Linked DNA regions of Schizosaccharomyces pombe. The gene in region 2 interacts genetically with the main gene of each other region. Each region holds a gene or a part of one and is shown on either strand. Other genes may lie near its edges.

What was found. Genes that interact genetically often act in the same process or in processes that back each other up.
Region 1: mutations in pob3 (region 2) and hta1 together harm fitness more than expected from each alone (negative genetic interaction), as found in Schizosaccharomyces pombe (2 studies listed by BioGRID).
Region 3: mutations in pob3 (region 2) and fft3 together harm fitness more than expected from each alone (negative genetic interaction), as found in Schizosaccharomyces pombe (2 studies listed by BioGRID).

The regions. Positions count from the first base shown.
Region 1 is NC_003421.2:1,409,008-1,414,181, reverse strand, and holds hta1 (histone H2A alpha), read left to right. Parts: upstream 1-2,000; 5' UTR 2,001-2,259; coding exon 2,260-2,658; 3' UTR 2,659-3,038; downstream 3,039-5,174. Other genes in the region: exocyst complex subunit Sec5, read left to right, coding at 1-545; histone H2B Htb1, read right to left, coding at 1,318-1,698; SPOM_SPCC622.07 (uncharacterized protein), read right to left, coding at 4,299-4,685; SPOM_SPCC622.06C (uncharacterized protein), read left to right, coding at 4,998-5,174. UniProt on the Schizosaccharomyces pombe protein: Core component of nucleosome which plays a central role in DNA double strand break (DSB) repair. Nucleosomes wrap and compact DNA into chromatin, limiting DNA accessibility to the cellular machineries which require DNA as a template.
Region 2 is NC_003423.3:3,166,169-3,173,606, reverse strand, and holds pob3 (histone H2A-H2B chaperone, FACT complex subunit Pob3), read right to left. Parts: upstream 4,233-7,438; 5' UTR 4,199-4,232; coding exon 3,962-4,198; intron 3,903-3,961; coding exon 2,601-3,902; 3' UTR 2,262-2,600; downstream 1-2,261. Other genes in the region: rpl29 (60S ribosomal protein L29), read right to left, coding at 1,046-1,204, 1,258-1,284; plasma membrane spermine family transmembrane transporter Caf5, read right to left, coding at 5,332-6,927. UniProt on the Schizosaccharomyces pombe protein: Component of the FACT complex, a general chromatin factor that acts to reorganize nucleosomes. The FACT complex is involved in multiple processes that require DNA as a template such as mRNA elongation, DNA replication and DNA repair.
Region 3 is NC_003424.3:2,096,059-2,103,407, reverse strand, and holds fft3 (protein Fft3), read left to right. Parts: upstream 1-1,602; 5' UTR 1,603-2,358; coding exon 2,359-5,127; 3' UTR 5,128-5,213; downstream 5,214-7,349. Other genes in the region: protein Atg14, read right to left, coding at 1-626; SPOM_SPAC25A8.03C (uncharacterized protein), read left to right, coding at 5,623-7,026. UniProt on the Schizosaccharomyces pombe protein: DNA helicase that possesses intrinsic ATP-dependent nucleosome-remodeling activity and is required for heterochromatin organization.

The DNA of each region.
Region 1 (5,174 bases), on a different chromosome or scaffold from region 2:
ATGTTTTACACTTCGTAACTCGACTGTTAAACTTGCGTTCACGTTTGGTACCTTACCAAAAGTTTCTCTTACAGACATTTCCTCTTAACGAGGTTTCTCCCTCCCTCGATCCGAGAATTTCAAAATCTCTTCGAAACTTGCAAGATCTTTATAAATTGTTGGCCATACGGGATACCAGTTTTTCCAATACCACACCCTCTTCCATATCCAAGTTGAGCATTCAACCACCGACCTTCCAATTGTTTTCCACTCTAGAAACCATATACTTAGAATTAAAAGACTCCATGCCTCCTAATGAAGCGGCAGATTGGATGATAGCCACAACGTCTTGTATGCTCGCTCAGTTTGCTTTACACTCACCATATGCCTTTTTCCACGACATTCCTAGTATTTCGCATTTCTTAAATAAATGCCTTCCACCTACCATACTCGACTTGCTACAACAAATCCAAAGAAAGGCAGAAGCCAGCTCCATAAGTCCGACTACGGAAACAGCTACGAAAACACGACTCAAGTTTCAGTTTATTGAAATGATCTTTTCATAATATTATATTATTATTAATAGTAGAATTACTTTACAATCTTTCCAAACATATATAAAATCATTTGCATAGCAAACATACCAAACCACATCAACTTCGCACACTGGATTCTTTGGGATATTTTGAATGTGAATAATAATATTCCATTCACCATCAATCTAAATCACCAACATAAACAATAATAATAATAATAAATCCATTAATAAACCAAGATGCCCAGGAGTGGAACGGGAAATGGAGTGTGAGAAGTGTCTGTATGAGTGCCAATGACACAAATTATTTCCATACATGGCGGAAAGGAACAAACAGTCGAAAAAAAAGAAACTCAACTCTCCAACCAGTGGTGATAGCTATAAAATGCACAAGGGAAGAAGATTAACCAAGGGAAGAAAAAGCATCTCGTCCCCGTCGAATCGAACACAAAACCCAATTTGATCCAGTACGACTTGTGCAAAACAAAACACCTTTCAACTCCACGAACCGGTCATAGAAATGAAGAACCATGTGTAATGTAAAAAAAACTATCGCGTGATGTGCTGCACCTGTGTTGTTGTTGTCGTCATTGTACGGGGAATAAAATAGGAATGCGATACAAAAGGCGGAAATGGAAAAGAGGAGGGAACGAAAACGTTAAAAAAGGGAGGAGGAAAATATATATTTCCAAAAGAGCAAATAACCTACCCCCTTTTGTTTCGTGAGGTTGTCATTGTCGAAATGGAAGGCTGTGGAAACTCATCAGCTGACTAAAAGACGATTGCACAATCGTGCGATTCGCTTACTGAGCAGAAGAAGAATACTTGGTGACGGATTTGGTACCTTCGGTAACGGCGTGCTTGGCTAACTCACCGGGAAGAATCAAACGAACAGCAGTCTGGATTTCACGGGAAGAAATAGTGGACTTCTTGTTGTAAGCAGCAAGCTTGGAAGCCTCAGTGGCAATACGCTCAAAAATATCGTTGACGAAAGAGTTCAAGATACGCATGGCTTGGTTGGAAATACCAGTATCAGGGTGAACTTGCTTCAACACCTTGTAAATATAGGATGAATAAGTTTCCTTTCTGTTTTTACCACGCTTCTTATCAGCAGACTTCATGGTATCCCTAGGAGCCTTACCGGCGGGAGCCTTGGAAGCGGGTTTCTTTTCAGCAGCAGACATTTTTTACGATTTAAAAATTGGTTGTCGAGAGAATCTCAAAATTGATGGACTGAACTAAGTAATTGCAATTGTAGGAATTTGATAATCCTAAACTTTCGTGCAATATCAAGTTGTTGGTATTAACTAACATGCCTGCAGGCGACGCGATGGTTATATACAACTTGGGCATCACAACCCTAACCCTGGTGTTTAGCCATGCGACGCGGAAACGTCATCTACAAGAACGCGTTAGACGTGCTTATACGGAAGATTAGAATTAGTATATATATGAAGGGTGCGCGCTCCTATGTCTCCTTTTCCCTATATCGCGACTTTTCGTTGTTTAGGATACCTTTTGATCCATACACGTATTGAAATTGATATAAACAATTGATCCTTAGTTGATAAGGAGATTGATTGTCCGTAAAGGCTGAAATTGCGAGAAAATTCTGTTAATTTCACCAAATTTGATCCATTCGCTGCTTCATCGTTGACTGTTATCTTTTTTCATTAAAGAAGGAAAAATCTTTTTTTTTTAACTCAAACTTTTATTTTTTTTATTTAGTTTCAGTATTTTTCGTCATGTCTGGAGGTAAATCTGGTGGTAAGGCTGCTGTTGCCAAATCTGCTCAATCCCGTTCTGCCAAGGCCGGTTTGGCTTTCCCCGTTGGTCGTGTCCATCGTTTGTTACGTAAGGGTAACTATGCTCAACGTGTTGGTGCTGGTGCTCCCGTTTACTTGGCCGCCGTTTTGGAATATTTGGCTGCTGAAATTCTCGAATTGGCTGGAAACGCTGCTCGTGACAACAAGAAGACTCGTATCATTCCCCGTCATCTTCAACTCGCCATCCGTAACGATGAAGAGTTGAACAAACTTCTTGGTCACGTTACCATTGCTCAAGGTGGTGTTGTTCCCAACATCAACGCCCATCTTTTGCCCAAAACTTCTGGTCGCACTGGAAAGCCTAGTCAGGAGCTGTAAAGTCAGTCGTCAAGTAAAACATTTTGAAAGAGGATGAAGGGAAAGACATTGAAAAGTTGTAAAGGACCTTTCTTTTTTTACAACCCCGCAATACTTTTTTTGGTTGTTTCTCGCTTCTAAACCATGTTTGGTTCTTTTTCCTTTTGAACTTTTTGCGTCTTTCTTTTTCTTTGCTGTTATTGTTTTCGTTATGCCTGAACTTTAAGGATGTTTTAGATGCAGCCAAGTCATTCTCTACTAGTTACTTTTACTAGTACTTGAAGGGCTTTTGCACAAGTAATTCCTACTTGAACTGGCTCCTTTGGTTTTTTTTATTTCTTTTTTATTCTCCCTTAATTATAATATTGTATAGTAATGAGTATATTTTTCAAAATCCTATATGAGAGTATGTATCAAATGAATAAATAGATTGTAGAGTGGAGATGAACAGATTGATGAAAGGAGTGTCATTAAACATTGAATCGAGCAGTACATGCAAAAGAATAGTACTTAATTTTTTTTTACAATTAATGCTTTTGAATTTCCAGAATTTTTTTTCGATGCAGTTTTTTTACTCTTCTTTCGTGAAACGGTAGACGTTTGCTTCTTTTGAGTTTTTTCCTTCGCCGATTTCGAAGCTCGGTCGCACCAGTACAGCACAATTCCAACTAAAAGACCAAGCATTTCATAAATTGAGAATGCTTAGATTTGGTAATTTTCACGTTTATTTTCCCTTTTTTTCTGTCTATATTTCTTATGGGCTATTTAGTCATTACGTCCAACCGATTGGTTAATGAATTGTACCCGGAACCGGTAAAGCCAGTTAACGAGAATATGTAAGCAATTTTTGGCAAGTTGGTGAATTTCACAAATTCATTTACCCATAATGCTGCTTTTATCGTTATTTATGGATAGTGATTGCTGTACGTCTCTTTATATGTTTGAAAAGAATACAATAAATAGGAAGGAGTTTGGAAAAAAATAGCTAGGTTCTTATGTAACTGTTTGATTTTTTTTTTTTTTCTTAGTTTTTTATTTTAATTTTAATTTTTGTTAGAAATCGATTTCATCGTATCTATTTAGGATTTTTCAATATTTTTTCTTTTTTGCCAATGTATTTTTATAGTTGTATGAAAATTATAATACTAATATCAGTCAATAAATAGCCATTGCAGTTTATTATTTTTATATTATATCAAAAAATATTAAAACATTATAATAAAATTTTTGCATGGCTCTTAGAAAAGCATTTATCGTAAAATTCGAGTTTGTTGGATTGTAAAATAGTAAAAAAATTCCAAAATATTGAGAATATATTCTGGCAAAAATTTCAGATTATTATACGGGAAAAAAATAGCCATAGAACAATTACAATTGTTACAGAAGTACAGAATTAAAAAACAAAAAATTTCATTACAAACATAGGAAAACTATTTGACACTACCGATACAACCAGCTGACGATGCCGTTGATTCCGTTAAACAAAAGTGTTTGAATTATTTTTAAAATGAATTAAATATATTAGTAAAAAGGTACGAAGAATTGAAGTTTGTTAAGTCTAGCAAAAATTTAGCGATAAACTTCAACAGTAAAAGGATTTGGCTTTACCAAAGGTTGATCATTGCGCTTCAGATCAATTGACTAACCATTTTTGTACTCCTTTAATCCTGTTTATCAAGCTCATCCATAAAGGTTGAAGTGTACTTTGGAGGTTCATTAGATTGACTTTCACCAACGTTCTGGTTCAATGAGTCTGGTTTGTTTAAAAACTCAGACTCAGCATCTGGTTTAGGAATAGAAATATAATAGATAATCACCGTTATTATTATACCTATAACGCCAAGATTCAAAAAAACCCAACAAAAAAAAGAAAAACCATTGTAATTTTTTACATAACACACAATGTCGACAACGTAATTGAGGAAAAGGAAAATAATAGAAATATATAGAAGCCGGTGAATTATCTTATACTTTTCTTTTGCGACCCTTACACACTCTCCGTAGGTTAAATCCTTCTTCACATATAAATGAATGTCCAAGGACGCCATATCGAAACGAAAGAGAAAGAAAGATGCAAATTCAGCTATTGGAAATTAAACTTTATTCTTAATTGTAAACATTTACCAATCTTGAGTCAACAATAGACATAGGAAAATGAAATGCCTTTCCCGAACAGTGAGATTGAAAAGGCTAACTTCTCTTCAAACCCCTGCTAACTACTGCGTGCACAATCTATTAACCACAAATAATGAAATTCAATTAAATTAAGTTTTCAGCTACTGAAAAATCCATTTTTCTTATATTTTCAAATTTCGTGATTTAAAAGTGTTCAATTAACTGCGTTTTGTTAGACGAAAGATATGAGCCCAAAGGAATCCATCGAGTTGCAAGAATTCCAGTCGCTGCTTCAGGACGAAGCATATGAAGAGTTAATTAATAAAAAAACATATGAAGCTATTAAATATCGGAGTAATGATGGTATTTTACCAATTATTATTACTTTATTTATTTTCTCTTTTGTTATAAGTCGAATGATC
Region 2 (7,438 bases):
ATTTCTCAATGGTCGATGATTAATTGTTCATGAAATAACTGAATGTTCTTTTAAGAAATTATTTTTTGCACTACCATTTCATTATTCATTTTCTTTCTTTTCCGTCAATTGTTAGATGTATATAGACTATTGCCTTTTATTTTTCATCATCTAAATTCCCTTTTTTAACAAAATCTGACGCTTAAAAGACGGATGTTTTTACCGAGCAATAGTTGTTTGAACTACTTTATACTTCTTATCTTCGAGAGAGTGCTTAACGTTGATGATGGCATTTTCCGCTGCAAGCTTCTGTTTGCTATCGGTGGAATCCTTTATAATGACCATTGACAATTTTGTTTAAAGGTCTTTCATTTCAATTATGTATACTGGTCTCACGTTGGAAAATAATTTGCCTATTTAGTTATTGTTTATACTACTATGCAATCAAATTTCCTTTTCAGTGATGCTATTTTATGGTAGTTCACACGTTTATATACAGTAGGCTTATACAATGTTTCGGCATTCCTTGGGATTTGATAATATAAAGCCACCGTTTAATCGTAAGAGAGAGTAAGGTGCTTATTATCATTACAGCTATTTACCGGCGAGTTAGCAGAGTACTCACTAACAAGTCTATGAACACAATAATAATATTAAGAAATTCAGATTTATACTGCTGCTAAGGTACTATCAATTAATAGAAAATTTGTACCACCCAATTCTTGACTAAATTCGGTGAAGATTAGCCGAAAGTTAGCCAATATGTATAAGGGCGAATCATCAGTCTAGCACGAAAAACAAGTTCAACCGCAATTAATCTCACGGGTAATTTTGTTAAAAAGTGCAATGATACAATTTACTTTAGATTAACAGAACGTCACAGCTATTCATATACATCCAGTAAGAGCTTACTCTACGCATTCGCTTTAAATTTAACCGGCAGACTACCTTTATTTTTAGAAGCACAAATCAAACGAGATTCTCATTTTAGAAATCCAAAATTTTTAAAACGTTGAATTATGCCATTTATGTAGAAACCAAACTAAGACAACTAATTCCAAGCATTTTAAGCAGAGGCCTTAGCTTGACGAATAGCTTCGACGGTACCACGGTTGGCAAACTTTTGGTTGCGGCGGAACTTAGCATCACGGTACTTAAGAGAATCGTAACGGTGCTTTTGAGGACGCTTAATACCGTTACGGTGAGCCTTCTTGTTTTGGTTGTGCTAAGCTCAGTTAGTATTAACATTCATTCAACAATCTACAAAGACAAACTCACATTAGTATGATTCTTCGACTTGGCCATTTTGGTTCCTGGATAGGTGAAAGAGGATTATGCAAAGCAAAATATTGTTTCAAAAAAAGCAGTCACGTTTACAAGTTTCTGTAGCGTAGTTTACTAAAGCGAATACCGATATCGTCGGTATTACATTAAATTATGAATGATAACTTCGGCGAGTTCCCATTGCATTGGTGCTGTGTGTATGCATAATTGCTAAATAATCGTGTAGTTGAAATGTTTTTGAGCACTTTTGTGTAAAACATAACGATGAAGGAAAGTGAAGTACTGGAATGTTAATAAAATAAAATGGTAATAAATAAAAAAATGATCAAATAAACGCTTACTCTGTAATTTATGTTGTATTCCAAGTTATAAATTAAAACAACTAACAAGCTATCGTAGCAATTACAGGATAACGCAAAACATGATCTATGTTTATGACTAGTACTTCAATTTGTTTGATGCTCGGCGCGGAAAAATGAAAGCTCGATGCATTGATTTTAAAAATATTGGTAGATTCTTAAAACCACAATCATAGTTTTTTTTTTTTTTTTTTTTCGTTTCGTCTGATCAATGTGCAAAGTATGCACTTTCTTCTATTTTTACTACACATTTCAACATCCAAACAATTTTGCACTATAATAATTATAACACAGTTGTATTGTTGTCAGCCATACCTAGGCGAAAACACCGGTTCCCGTCTGCAGCTAAGCGTCTGATGGCTTTGTTAGTACCATCGTAGGAGACAATATGGGAATCCCGGGTGCTGTAGGCTATTTTTCTCATTATTGCATACTAATGTTAAATAACGGTGTCGTAAACGTTTTGGCTATGCATCCATAGGTACTGTAGTTAATATTCTAAATAAAAGACATCATTCAAAAGTCCATGTACTGATGATATCTACAAATAATCTCATAAGTATAAATAAATAATACACTTTTAAACGATTGTCTTAATATATTACGAGATGATTTTGTGAAAGACGTTTATGCTACTTTGAAATGGATATCTCAGGATTTTCTCAAAATAGAAAGGTCATAGCAATGTATAAAGGAAAACATGCGAGTCATTAGGCGTCTTGTGACCTTGGAATAATTTTGCCTAGTCAAAATTGTGGAACAGTATATATTTTGACCGGTAAGTGTTATTTTTTCTAAAAGGATTTTACCACTCGGATTCATCGATAGAAGTTTCCTTATGTGACATAAAAATGCACAAGAGTGCCAACTTTGAGGATTCCGAAGAATTAAAATAAAAAATTTGTAATAGCAAAAGACAAGGCTGAAAAGTTGATCCAAATAGACTTCCAATTTAACATTGCTCAATTTTATAGATCATTACTCCGAACCCTCAGCACCAGAAGCACCTTCTTCATCAGAAGATTCTGCATTTTCATCATATTCTTCAGCAACATCGCTTTCACTTTCAGCTTGAAAATCTTCGTCTTCTGATAGTGCTTCTTCCATTTCCTCATCCCCTTCCTCATCTTCATCGTCCAAGGCAGATGTAAGCAATGTTTGCTGTGTTTCATCCGCTAAGTCATTATGAATCTTAATTTGTTTTGATTCTAAAAAGGCAACCAAAGCGCTCTGTTCAACTCTATTTATGTTCGAAAACTGATAAGACGTACCAGAGCGAAGGGTAAAAGTAAGATCAAATGTACGGGCAGCGGATACAGACATGCCAACACGTGAAAGTGTTACACGAGTAATATCGGATGTATTCATGAGAAGCGTAGGTTTAGGAATGAAGAGAAATGATTTATCTAAGCAATATAATTGGCCTTCATTCGCCTTATAAGAACACTTGACTGCAGCGTGACCCTCATGACTAAGAAATTCTGCTGGTGTTGTAACTTTTCGGCCAGTCAAGCCCCTAAAGATTTGACTTACAACTTCAAAAGCAGGTTGATCATAGCTGGCTTTTACCTTATCAGCGTATTTTTCTTTTAAGACTGTCTCTTCAATGTTTAAATCCACTTCCATATCTTCATCACGAACAAACTGAGTAACTAGGAATGGATAGCGTGTTTGTCCCTGCCTAAGAGGAGGTTCCAATCCAATGACAAACACCACATGTTGCTCATCGGGTTTTGGGAGTAAAAATAGACTATTGATGGAGCTGTACTCAACCTTGTAATCATATGTTTTGCCACGAAGTCGCATACAAGTTTCATACATATCTATATCGTAACGTCCACGTGGTGTAAGCAAAAGAATTTCAGAAAATGATACAATTGCATCTCCAGCTGCTTGCCCAATATCTGCTCTTTCTTTTAGGGATTCATAAAATAAATTTGCAGCGTTCTGTTCTACTTCTTCACCGTCAGCGGCATCTTCCTTTGCGGTTGTCCCGGGCACATACAAACGCATCTCAACAAGCTCATCAACTTGAGCAGAAGGAATTTGCTTATCGTCTGTTGTAGAGAATTCCAAAGCCACCTCATTTTTTCCCGAAAGATTAGTATTCGTGACAGCTGAAATAGGAATCTCAAAGGCTGGCCGAGAATTGACATCAAACACAAGTTCTGAGCCTAAAAAATTAGCTTCTCCCCAATTCCATCCCTTAATGGAAAATTCTTTTTGCTCAATTCCCATGTCAAAATTTTGTTTAATAACATTGATCAAATCATCGAGGTCCTGAGCATGTTTAATTAGTATAATCTTCAAAAACAAAACACTTAGTTAAAAAAATTTACCTCCTGTGAAAATCCGTCAAGACTGACTGGATCTTTGCTTTTCAAAATGATTTTCAACTCATATCCACGCGCAAAGCGACTCCAACAAAAACGTCTAATCTCACTTATAGGTAATGTGAATGGTTCTGCTAAGCTAGGTGACTTCCAACCAAGACCACTCGGGGCTATACGAAGTTTTCCCGGTTTTTCACTTAGATTTAAATAAATATTGTCATACTGAACCGTTTTGGCCGCCATTTTTTATAACTGGTGAAGTATTAAGTATTTGGTCAGAAAACAGCTATACCAGGTTATTCTCAAATTCACACATTAACACATTTGTTCGTTTGCGTTAAAACCTAACAACGTTTATTAACGTATTAACATTATAACATCAGTTACGCAGTTTGGCATCTGTTTTAAACGATACGATAAACTGCGGTGAGTTTTCCTTGTGACCTATTATATTGCAATACACAGATAATATAAGTAGCGATCGAGTATAGGTATTATACTATTTAAGTTGTGTCATTAATATAGCTTATAACTAAACTGAGGAACGAGGTTCAGCTATAGATCTATTTTTAGTATTTAGATAATATAGATAGAAATAGACAATCAATAAAATCAATCTCAATATCATATCATATATAGTACGATGAATAATTAGGACATGTGACATACATATTAGCGTAGTGTAGTATTCTTTACATATAAATATGTATTTTGAAACGCACTACAAATCACTATTCAATGAATGTTTAATTTGAACGGCGTCCCGAGTCAGAAAATACAAACAATTCAATTAGCACTGTAACTCTGCTTAAACTTGATTTTTACTTATTGTAATTATAATACACTTATTTATTCTCATTAATAATATGTGTTGCATCCGCAAATAAATTACACCCATTTACTTTCATGAATTTAAAATAGTGGGTTCAATTGTACTCTTTACATCTGCGTGCTTTTTGAATTGCTCAATGGGCTTAAAATAATAAAGCTACAGTTCAATTGGGCTTTAAAGCGCAAGAATAAATACAATACAACCACAACTTCATTCGTTTATTGGCCTTGTAGTACCTTTTCTGTTTTATAAAAAAAATAAATTTAAGATTGAACGTGAATTTTGTATACCAAATTTTATTTAAATAGACAATTACAAGTTCAAGTCTAGAAACGTTCTAAACTGATAGATAATATAATATCAATCAATACCTCAATTAGCGACACAAAATAACACCATTAAATTTCATAAAACTCTATAAAAATTGAAAGAGAAGTGTCCATTACACTTATCTTTGAACAAGGGAGTATAGCCTTCATCATATACATCTTGATAACGCGCGGACAAATCCGGAAATAATTAAATGATCTCAACAACAGTGGAATTAAGAAGCATATTTTGAACGGCTTCTCAGTTTCAGACCCCATTTATGTAGCACGAAAGGAATAGGAATCATTAAGCAAGCAACTATACCAAGGATAGTACTTCCCCAGGCAACTGGAGCATAGGAAGGGCCTGTATTATTAAACATAGCTCGGGCAAACAATGGGAATGATGCAGCCATAGCCGAACGAAATAGGTCGTTTCCAGCAAACACAGATGCAACGTACTTTGGGTATGAAGCAGCCAAATACTGAAACATACTTTGAAACATTAAAAAGGCCCCAGATGCGTAAAAGAGCGTACTGACGATTGGTACAATCCAATGGACCGATTCTCTTCCCGACCAGCCAAACCAGAAAAGGCAAATGGGAATAAAGAACGTTGCTGGAAATGAAATGACCAAAACTCCTTCCGGAGCAAAATCACCACCACTGGCCATGAATGCTGGGATCATCACTTTATACAGGAATACGAAATAGCAGGCTAAAGTAATCAAGGCACCCACGAGAATACCTAAGTAAACCAAGCCATTTTCAATAATGGTAAAATGGTAAACGCTAGTAAAAAGGATTGGGAAAGCTTCGAACCACAGATATAAAATTGAATAGATTAGCCCAATATATATATTTAAAGACAATACTATCGGCTCCGAAATACTTAGTATTATCGGACGAATTATGGTTTCCTTTGCAAGCTGAGCAACACTTAAATGGGAAGATGCCAATTCGGCCTCTGTTCTATAATTTTCGTTTCCAGTTATCTTACGGAACCTCTTTGCCCTCTTATATAATATATGCCATTCAGAAGTCTCTGGCATAAAAAAGAAGATAACAATCAATGCAAAGCCAGAAATCATCATCAAAAGCCAAAATTGCCATCTCCAAGATTCAGCAACGACCATCGCTCCACCAAGCAACGGTCCCAAAACTGGACCACCGATGGCTCCAATTGCCCAAAAACACATAAAGTAGGGAAGAAGCCATGGTTGCCAAATATCTGCCAAAGTAGCACCTCCAGTCGCTAGAGCTGGCGAGCCGAAGAAACCGGCCAAAAACCTCATTGGTAATAAGACGCCCAAGCTAGATCCCAGTGCGGTGGGAATCTGTAAACACACAAATACAAGGAGAGAAAGAACATAAATCTTTTGGCGACCAACTTGTGGAATCTCCGAGAGTGGAGACAAAATTAGGGGACCGATGGCATAGCCAAGTACAAAAAGAGTCAATCCCAAAACTACGGGAACAGTTCCTACGTGCATCGTTTCTTGCATTTCTGATATACCTGGAGTAAAAATTGCTGATCCCACATAAACCGCAAACGTTAAGAAGCAAATATCAAAAGTCACCACAAGCTTTGCCCACAAAGGCCAATTTAGGGGATTTTCGGGATCGTTGGCATCATCCCATCGCACAATAATGTGTCCCTCTGAATTAACTTCATGAATCTTCAGATCGCCGGATTCCGAGCTGCATGAGTCATTGGAATCTACTTTGCTAATGTCTTTCCATACTCTCAGTTTCTCTAAGTCGTTGTCATTGGAGTTGTGAGAAACGTATTCGACCAATTCGCCGAAAACGGTTTCCCTTAAAAATCCCATTTAAATGACCGTATGTAAAAACCAAAGTTAGTTCTATTTTTTGGTCTCGGTTAACTTTATTAAAAACTTGACAGATTATTTGCCCACACTTGCTGGTACAATTGTCTGGCTACATTCTTCTCCTAATATACCCTTCGTGCCTTACCTAATCAACGTGAATGTTTACTAAGTGTAAAGTAAGCATATATTGATTGATTAGTCAATTATGTGAGATTCCTTCTTTCAATTATCCATCGTATTCTAAGTCGTTTCAGTAAGCAGTATTAAAAGTGCAAAATCATCTTGTTGCTTATGTAAACAAAAAAAAAATTAAGATTGGAAGTTACAACAAACATTTCTAACGTACATCAGTCGATCGTCATCTCGCGTAAAAAATTCTGCCTTAATTTTTGTCAGCAAAAGAAAGCGAAATTAAAAAGTAAAAACAGAACTATATGACTAATCAAAACTAAGTATGAATTAATTCTTTTCAGAGTAATGCGAATACAACAGTTACTTAAAAAAATGATGT
Region 3 (7,349 bases), on a different chromosome or scaffold from region 2:
GATAAGTCGGATTTCGAATTGCCCATTGATAATTTTGAAAGTCTATACGCAAGAGATGAATCTATGGAGTCAGGGTTAAACTCTGATCCCATTTGAGCAGATTTTTGAGTGCAACCCTGAGTGTTAAGCACTAAATCCCTTTGCCAGTGAAGTTGATACATATCCAAAACCCTTGTTATCAGCTTCTTTTGATACTCATGCAATTTATTTTGAAGTAGCTCAGAACGGCGATAAGCTGTAAGGTATTCCTTAGAGAAATAGTCACTCGTTGAATGTGATAAGCCAGCTAACTTTTGACTCGCGATATTAATTGATTTTTTGCGATTAGACAAGTCATCTTCTATAAGCTGTTTGCGGGAATGCAAGTCACACGATAACGATTTCTTTTCGTTTAGAGAGGCAGCAAGGTTCTGTAGTCGATAAGTTAATTCCTCTTTTTGGGTAATCTTTCCTTTTAGAGAGAAACTTTCTGATTTCAATTTAGCAACCTTTTCAAGCTCTGACTCAATATCTCGAGAGAATTCATCACGTTTATGATAAAAATCATAAAGCTGCTTTTTTAAACAGCTTTCGCAAATAGAAGGACGTCTTGTTTCGCATAATTGGCATTTATTGACATGCAGCATACAAACACACCTTCAGTTTAGATCCAACAATGCCTTCAAGTGGTACGCAAATTTCAATTATAGCACAGCAATAAGAAAACTTAAAAACCCAGCAGGATATTAATTTCCTACTACGTTAACTGTCAACTTGTATACAATATAGGTGTTGTTAAAATAATGAAGCAAAAACAAAGAAGAAAAAGGGAAAAAAAATAAACAGCGCAGGTTTTTAAACAATTATTCTTAGAAACGAAGGGCCTCCTAACGGACAAATTCAAAAATATTAATTTAAAAGTGAAACTGCATTCCTGGCTGTTCTTGCAGAATTGAACAACCAATGCGATATTTTTGACAGAAAAAACGACAAATATTAAGAAAAAATTATATTATACGAATTCAATGCAATGAGTAGATGGACTTCTATTTCTTCAAATCCCCGAAGTAGCTACTTAGCAGTTGATGTTCGTATTGATTACTACAATCGTATGCAAATAGTTACTTTATAAAGCGTTTAAAAATATTTCCTTAAAGTAGCCTGTTACTCGACACTCAAATTTTTGCTAAATAACTTTGAGTGATGAGCAAGGTGTTTTACAAAACTATTTTATCTAAATAAATAGGTTAATAAAATATTAACTAAATAATATAATCCTAGAACCCAAACCATCCTCTTTTAACATTAGCTTTTGCAGTATCACCTAGAAAACATAACGTGGTACGCTGCCATAATATAACGAAACACTATTTGTTGTCATATTTCTTAAGGTTCAGTGACAAAAGATCTCTAGTATCTGCAGTTATGTTTAATGATTTTATTAAAACTATAAAAGAATAAAGACAATTTCGCCACGGTATCTTTTGCTAAATGTTTAGTAATATAAAGAGCAAGTTGCCATCATGATATAGCTTTACCATAAACTACGTTACAACGTTTAAGGCATTATTTAGCATCAGTATTTGGGACCACTACCACCATATCACGCCCCCGTGCCACATCAAGAACAAACTACCAGCATAGTGTGCTCTTGAATTATACCGAATAATTCCATAATACAAAAGAAGGTATTGGGTGACTGGAGTCTTTTTCTTTAACAATCCGATTCATTGAGTGTTATTATTTTAATTTTGGTAATTTTCTTTTTCTTTTTTTAAACAAAGATTGTTTTTGGATAGCCAAAGTATAAGTCGTTTTTGGTGATCTTTAATTGCGAGTATTTGTTTATTGCTAGAGCTTACCAAGTTTGCTTCATCTTAAACATCAGGAAAATTTTAAATTTATATTTTAAAATTTTTTTGTCTACTTTTCATTTACATTTTATTTTTCTTCATTAAATTCTGCATATCATCTCGAAACAACGCTTATGTATTAGAAGAAGGTGGTCTATCCTAATTAACTCATACACATCTCGTAACTAAAGGAATTGTTTCTTGTTTTAGAAATTGCAATAAGTTTTGGCCCTCAAAATTTTTTGTAATCTGCTGTTCCCATATTAAGTTTTCAACTATTTGAGTTACCAAGAAACGCGTGAAACAAGAAATCTGTATTGTTTTGTCGTTATTTCTTCCATTTTAATTAATCTTAGGAGAATTTAAAAAGTTTCAATCTTTTTGCATCTATTCTCGGCGCTCTTAATTCGTGTGATAAAATTATTCATAATATACACGTGACCTTACATATTTTTTCTCCAAATCCTATATTTTAGATTCAATTTTCTTTTGCCATTTGCTTGGATACATTGATTGTTACTTAATTATGGATGGAAAAAGAAAAATAGAGCATACCGCTGATGGCACGCATTACGACGCGACTTCCAACGTGAAGCGCAAGCCAATTTTCCCCCCTTTCATTGCTGATTCGCTTTCAGAAGCTACCGAAAAAGCTAATGTTATGGGGGGTGGTATGAATTCGCGACTTCAGATTCTTTCAGAGATGTCTAAACGAGTTCAGGCTACTGCACCCATTTCAAGTTTAGAACATTTCAAGCAGTTGAGTGATATTTCTCCCTCATTTACTTCCTCTGCTAACTCCATAAATCAACCATATAATTATTCCGGTTCGTTAGAAAATCTTGTTCCTACACCTTCTGCTGGCACTCCTTCGCAATTTATGGATGCCCAAAATCCATACGGCGCTGTTTACAATGCTTTATCTCAATTCTCTGAGACAGAGCCCAAAATGCCCTCTTACATGGATGACGAAGAAGCAAGCGATTCTTTACCTCTTTCATTATCGTCTCAATCACTGAGTTCACAGGTTACAAATCAAAAGCCAGCCCCACATCGTCTTACAATGAGAGAACGATATGCTGCTAATAATCTTACTAACGGACTTCAATTTACCTTGCCATTGTCATCTCGAAAGACTTATGAGCCTGAAGCTGACGATGACAGCAATGATGATATGTACTCTGATGATGATTCAAATGCAGATCGCTGGGCATCTCGTATAGATACTGCTGCTCTAAAGGAGGAAGTTCTTAAATATATGAATCGTTGTTCAACACAGGATTTGGCTGACATGACAGGTTGTACGCTTGCTGAAGCTGAATTTATGGTTGCCAAAAGACCTTTTCCAGATCTTGAATCTGCTTTGGTCGTTAAGCAACCTCGTCCGGTGATTCCCAAAGGTAGACGAGGTAGACGTGAAAAAACTCCTCTTGGACCACGTTTAGTTGGTATATGTATGGAAATTATGCGTGGTTATTTCGTAGTGGATGCGCTTATTCGTCAGTGTGAGCAGCTAGGTGGTAAAATTCAGCGCGGCATTGAAGCGTGGGGCTTGTCAAACACTGCTACATCTGATGAAGGTGAAACTTCTCTTGTCAACTTTGATCAAATGAAAAGTTTCGGTACGCCTGCAAATTCCTCGTTTATCACTACACCTCCTGCATCTTTTTCGCCCGATATCAAACTACAGGATTATCAGATCATTGGGATTAATTGGCTTTACCTTTTGTACGAGCTCAAACTGGCTGGTATCCTGGCTGATGAAATGGGGCTCGGTAAAACTTGTCAAACCATCGCTTTTTTCTCATTACTCATGGATAAAAATATTAACGGGCCACATTTGGTAATTGCACCTGCTTCAACGATGGAGAATTGGTTACGTGAATTTGCCAAGTTCTGTCCCAAGCTAAAAATTGAACTTTATTATGGATCGCAAGTCGAACGTGAAGAAATTCGTGAACGTATCAACTCTAATAAAGATTCTTATAACGTTATGTTAACCACCTACCGTTTAGCCGCTACTAGTAAGGCTGATCGTTTGTTTTTGCGCAACCAAAAGTTCAATGTTTGTGTATATGACGAAGGTCATTACTTGAAAAACCGTGCGTCTGAGAGATATCGTCATTTGATGAGTATTCCTGCCGACTTTCGAGTTTTGCTAACTGGTACACCGCTACAGAATAATCTTAAAGAATTAATTTCGCTTTTAGCGTTCATTCTTCCTCATGTATTTGATTATGGTTTGAAAAGTTTAGATGTCATTTTTACTATGAAAAAATCCCCAGAAAGCGACTTTGAACGAGCATTGCTTTCAGAACAGCGAGTATCGAGAGCCAAAATGATGATGGCCCCATTTGTCCTTCGCCGTAAAAAGAGCCAGGTGTTAGATGCTTTGCCGAAGAAAACGCGTATTATAGAATTTTGCGAATTTTCCGAAGAGGAACGTCGCCGTTATGATGACTTCGCTAGCAAACAAAGTGTAAATTCTTTATTGGATGAAAATGTCATGAAAACTAATTTAGATACGAATGCAAATCTTGCAAAGAAGAAAAGCACAGCTGGTTTTGTGCTTGTACAGCTTCGTAAGCTTGCGGATCACCCTATGTTGTTTCGAATTCATTATAAAGATGATATCCTTCGACAAATGGCGAAAGCTATTATGAATGAACCCCAATACAAAAAGGCAAACGAACTTTATATATTTGAAGACATGCAGTACATGTCAGATATTGAGCTACATAATTTGTGTTGCAAATTTCCGTCTATCAATTCATTCCAACTTAAAGATGAACCTTGGATGGACGCCACAAAGGTCAGAAAACTTAAAAAACTGCTCACTAATGCTGTTGAAAATGGCGACAGAGTTGTATTATTTAGTCAGTTTACACAGGTTTTGGACATTCTTCAACTTGTCATGAAATCATTAAATCTAAAGTTTTTAAGATTTGATGGTTCTACACAAGTCGATTTCCGCCAGGATCTCATCGATCAATTTTATGCTGATGAAAGCATTAATGTATTTCTTCTTTCTACCAAAGCCGGCGGTTTTGGTATCAATCTTGCGTGTGCTAATATGGTTATTCTTTATGATGTCTCTTTCAATCCATTCGATGACCTTCAGGCGGAAGATAGAGCACATAGAGTTGGCCAAAAGAAAGAAGTTACAGTTTATAAATTTGTTGTCAAGGATACCATCGAAGAGCACATTCAACGTTTAGCCAACGCTAAAATTGCTTTGGATGCGACTCTTTCCGGCAATGCCGAAACTGTGGAGGCTGAAGATGACGATGATTAGTTTATACAGGGTTTTTTATGCATTAGTTTTAAAATAGTCAAATTGATTAGGTTTCTACTTTATTCGAGTAAACCTTTCTCTTTATTTTCAATTGTATTATCTGTATTTGTGTTTTGCACGTTATAAGTCGATCCCGTTTCACTAAATCAGATTAAAAGATTTGATTTGTAAAAGTAAATTCTATTTATTGAATGATACAAATTCAGTACTTCTTCAACCTAATATGAAAGCTTTTAGCTTCTTGACACCATTTATATACCACGCCAAAAACGCGTCGTGAAAATGGTCAGTCTTTTTTGAAGATAATACAGCAAATAAGCGATTCTTATTATCCAAAGTCGTTCTAAAACTTGCAAAACAAAAGTTGACAGAGGAAAGCACTTCACCTAGTAAGTTTATGAAATCATATTATTACATTTTATTTCTCAACTTCGAATAATAGTAATCGAATAAATAATGAATTTTGTTCAATTTTAATACTACAAAGAGTGTTAAATGCTGAATCTTTATATGTGGAAGCTAAGTCGCTCTCAAGTTTATCAAGCTTCATTATTATTTGGAAGCAGAGTAATTAGTGCTCTTGCATTTACAAATACCGGTCTAGTTTTGCATGGCCCAAGAAGATGGTATACTACTGATAATGGATTTTTGTTGCACCGCGATTCTAAGGTTTCGTTAGCCGATTATATTCATGAATCTACGTTTGATCCCAGCAAGGGTTACTATTCTCGACTTTGGACAGGCTCAACCAATAATTTGAGCCATTCTGTACATGTATTAAGGAAAGAAGGGCATAAATGTTCCAAAGAATTTGATCCTTTTTTGCATGGAATACCTATTCCTCAAAAGGCATTAAACATCTATGAAAAGCAAAGGTCTCTATTCTCTGAGTCCATTAGTAACTACTTGGTGTTGCAGTATAAACTTCGATATTTCCCGGTGTTTGATTTGAAAATATATGATTTTCATTCTGGGACTGGAATAATAGCATTGGATATTCTTGATTATCTTTATAAAAATCACCTTGAAGTTTATGGACGTACTACATACAATATAGTCTTGCATAATTCTTGGCAAGCAAGCTGGTTTAAGAGCATGTTGACATCTGTGAGATATGCAAAGCATGGAGATCATATTGATATATATGTTAGTGATCCATTAACGTGGAACCATACTGATACAAATCCTTGCTTTGTATTGGCATTACAGGTAATTAGCTCCTTCGGTCATGATTTATTTCGTCAGAGTAACGGCGCCATGATGATGGAACGGTGCTGGCTTGGTCCAGAGCACTTTTTAAACGAATTCTTCACTCTAAATACTCACCAAAAAGTTAGCTCTTTGAATTACCATTTAGCATTTCAACAAGCTAGGATTAATGTTCAGCAAGGGTTTAGCGACAGCAGGGCTAAACGGTACTTTTCCGGTGTTAAACAAGTATTTTGGTCCTTTTTTAGCACGCAAAAACTCACATACTATCCTACGAAAGCCATTAGATTTTTTGAACGATTGTCAAAACAGTTTCCGCACCACAGTCTGCTTTTGATGGACGTGTGTCACGTTGACAAATCCTTGCCTGGAATCAATGCACCGTCTGTTTTAAGTATGGAAAATGATTTTTCTACAAAAAAAATGTCTTCTAACATTGGGCACGTGTTTCAAAATGAGACCGTCAAATATGTGTTTCCCACACCTTTATATCTAGTTTCAGATATACTTCAGCTTGCTACTCATAATCGGTCCTTCATTTGTTCACTTCCCCATTTCTTAAGGCGATGGTCTAATGAACATGGTAGAAAGTTTTTCGTTCCTGTAGAACCGTCATCTAAAAACCTAAAAGTTCCTTATTCCTTCAACAATTACTACGTTGTCTCGTCTATGCCAACTTATTATTACTAAATGGCAAGTACTATTTTTCTTATTCTTTGTTCAACTTGAGAGGTGCACTAAGCGGGCTAGTGAATTGACTTTAGTTATTTATTTATTTATTTTTTGAAAATTGGTTATAAATAAAATAGCTTTAAATTGGAAAGAATATCATATTCAGTTAGGGTTGAAAAGGTTAAATAATGAAATTGCCAGTGTCAACTCGAAAGAGAATGCGAGCTTTAAACTGCATAAATAATTAAATATCGGAAATTTATACAATCTTCAAACGCAAGCCGTATTCAGTTTTGTATTGAACATCGATTGAATTGCTATAATCTTCCTATTAAAGATTT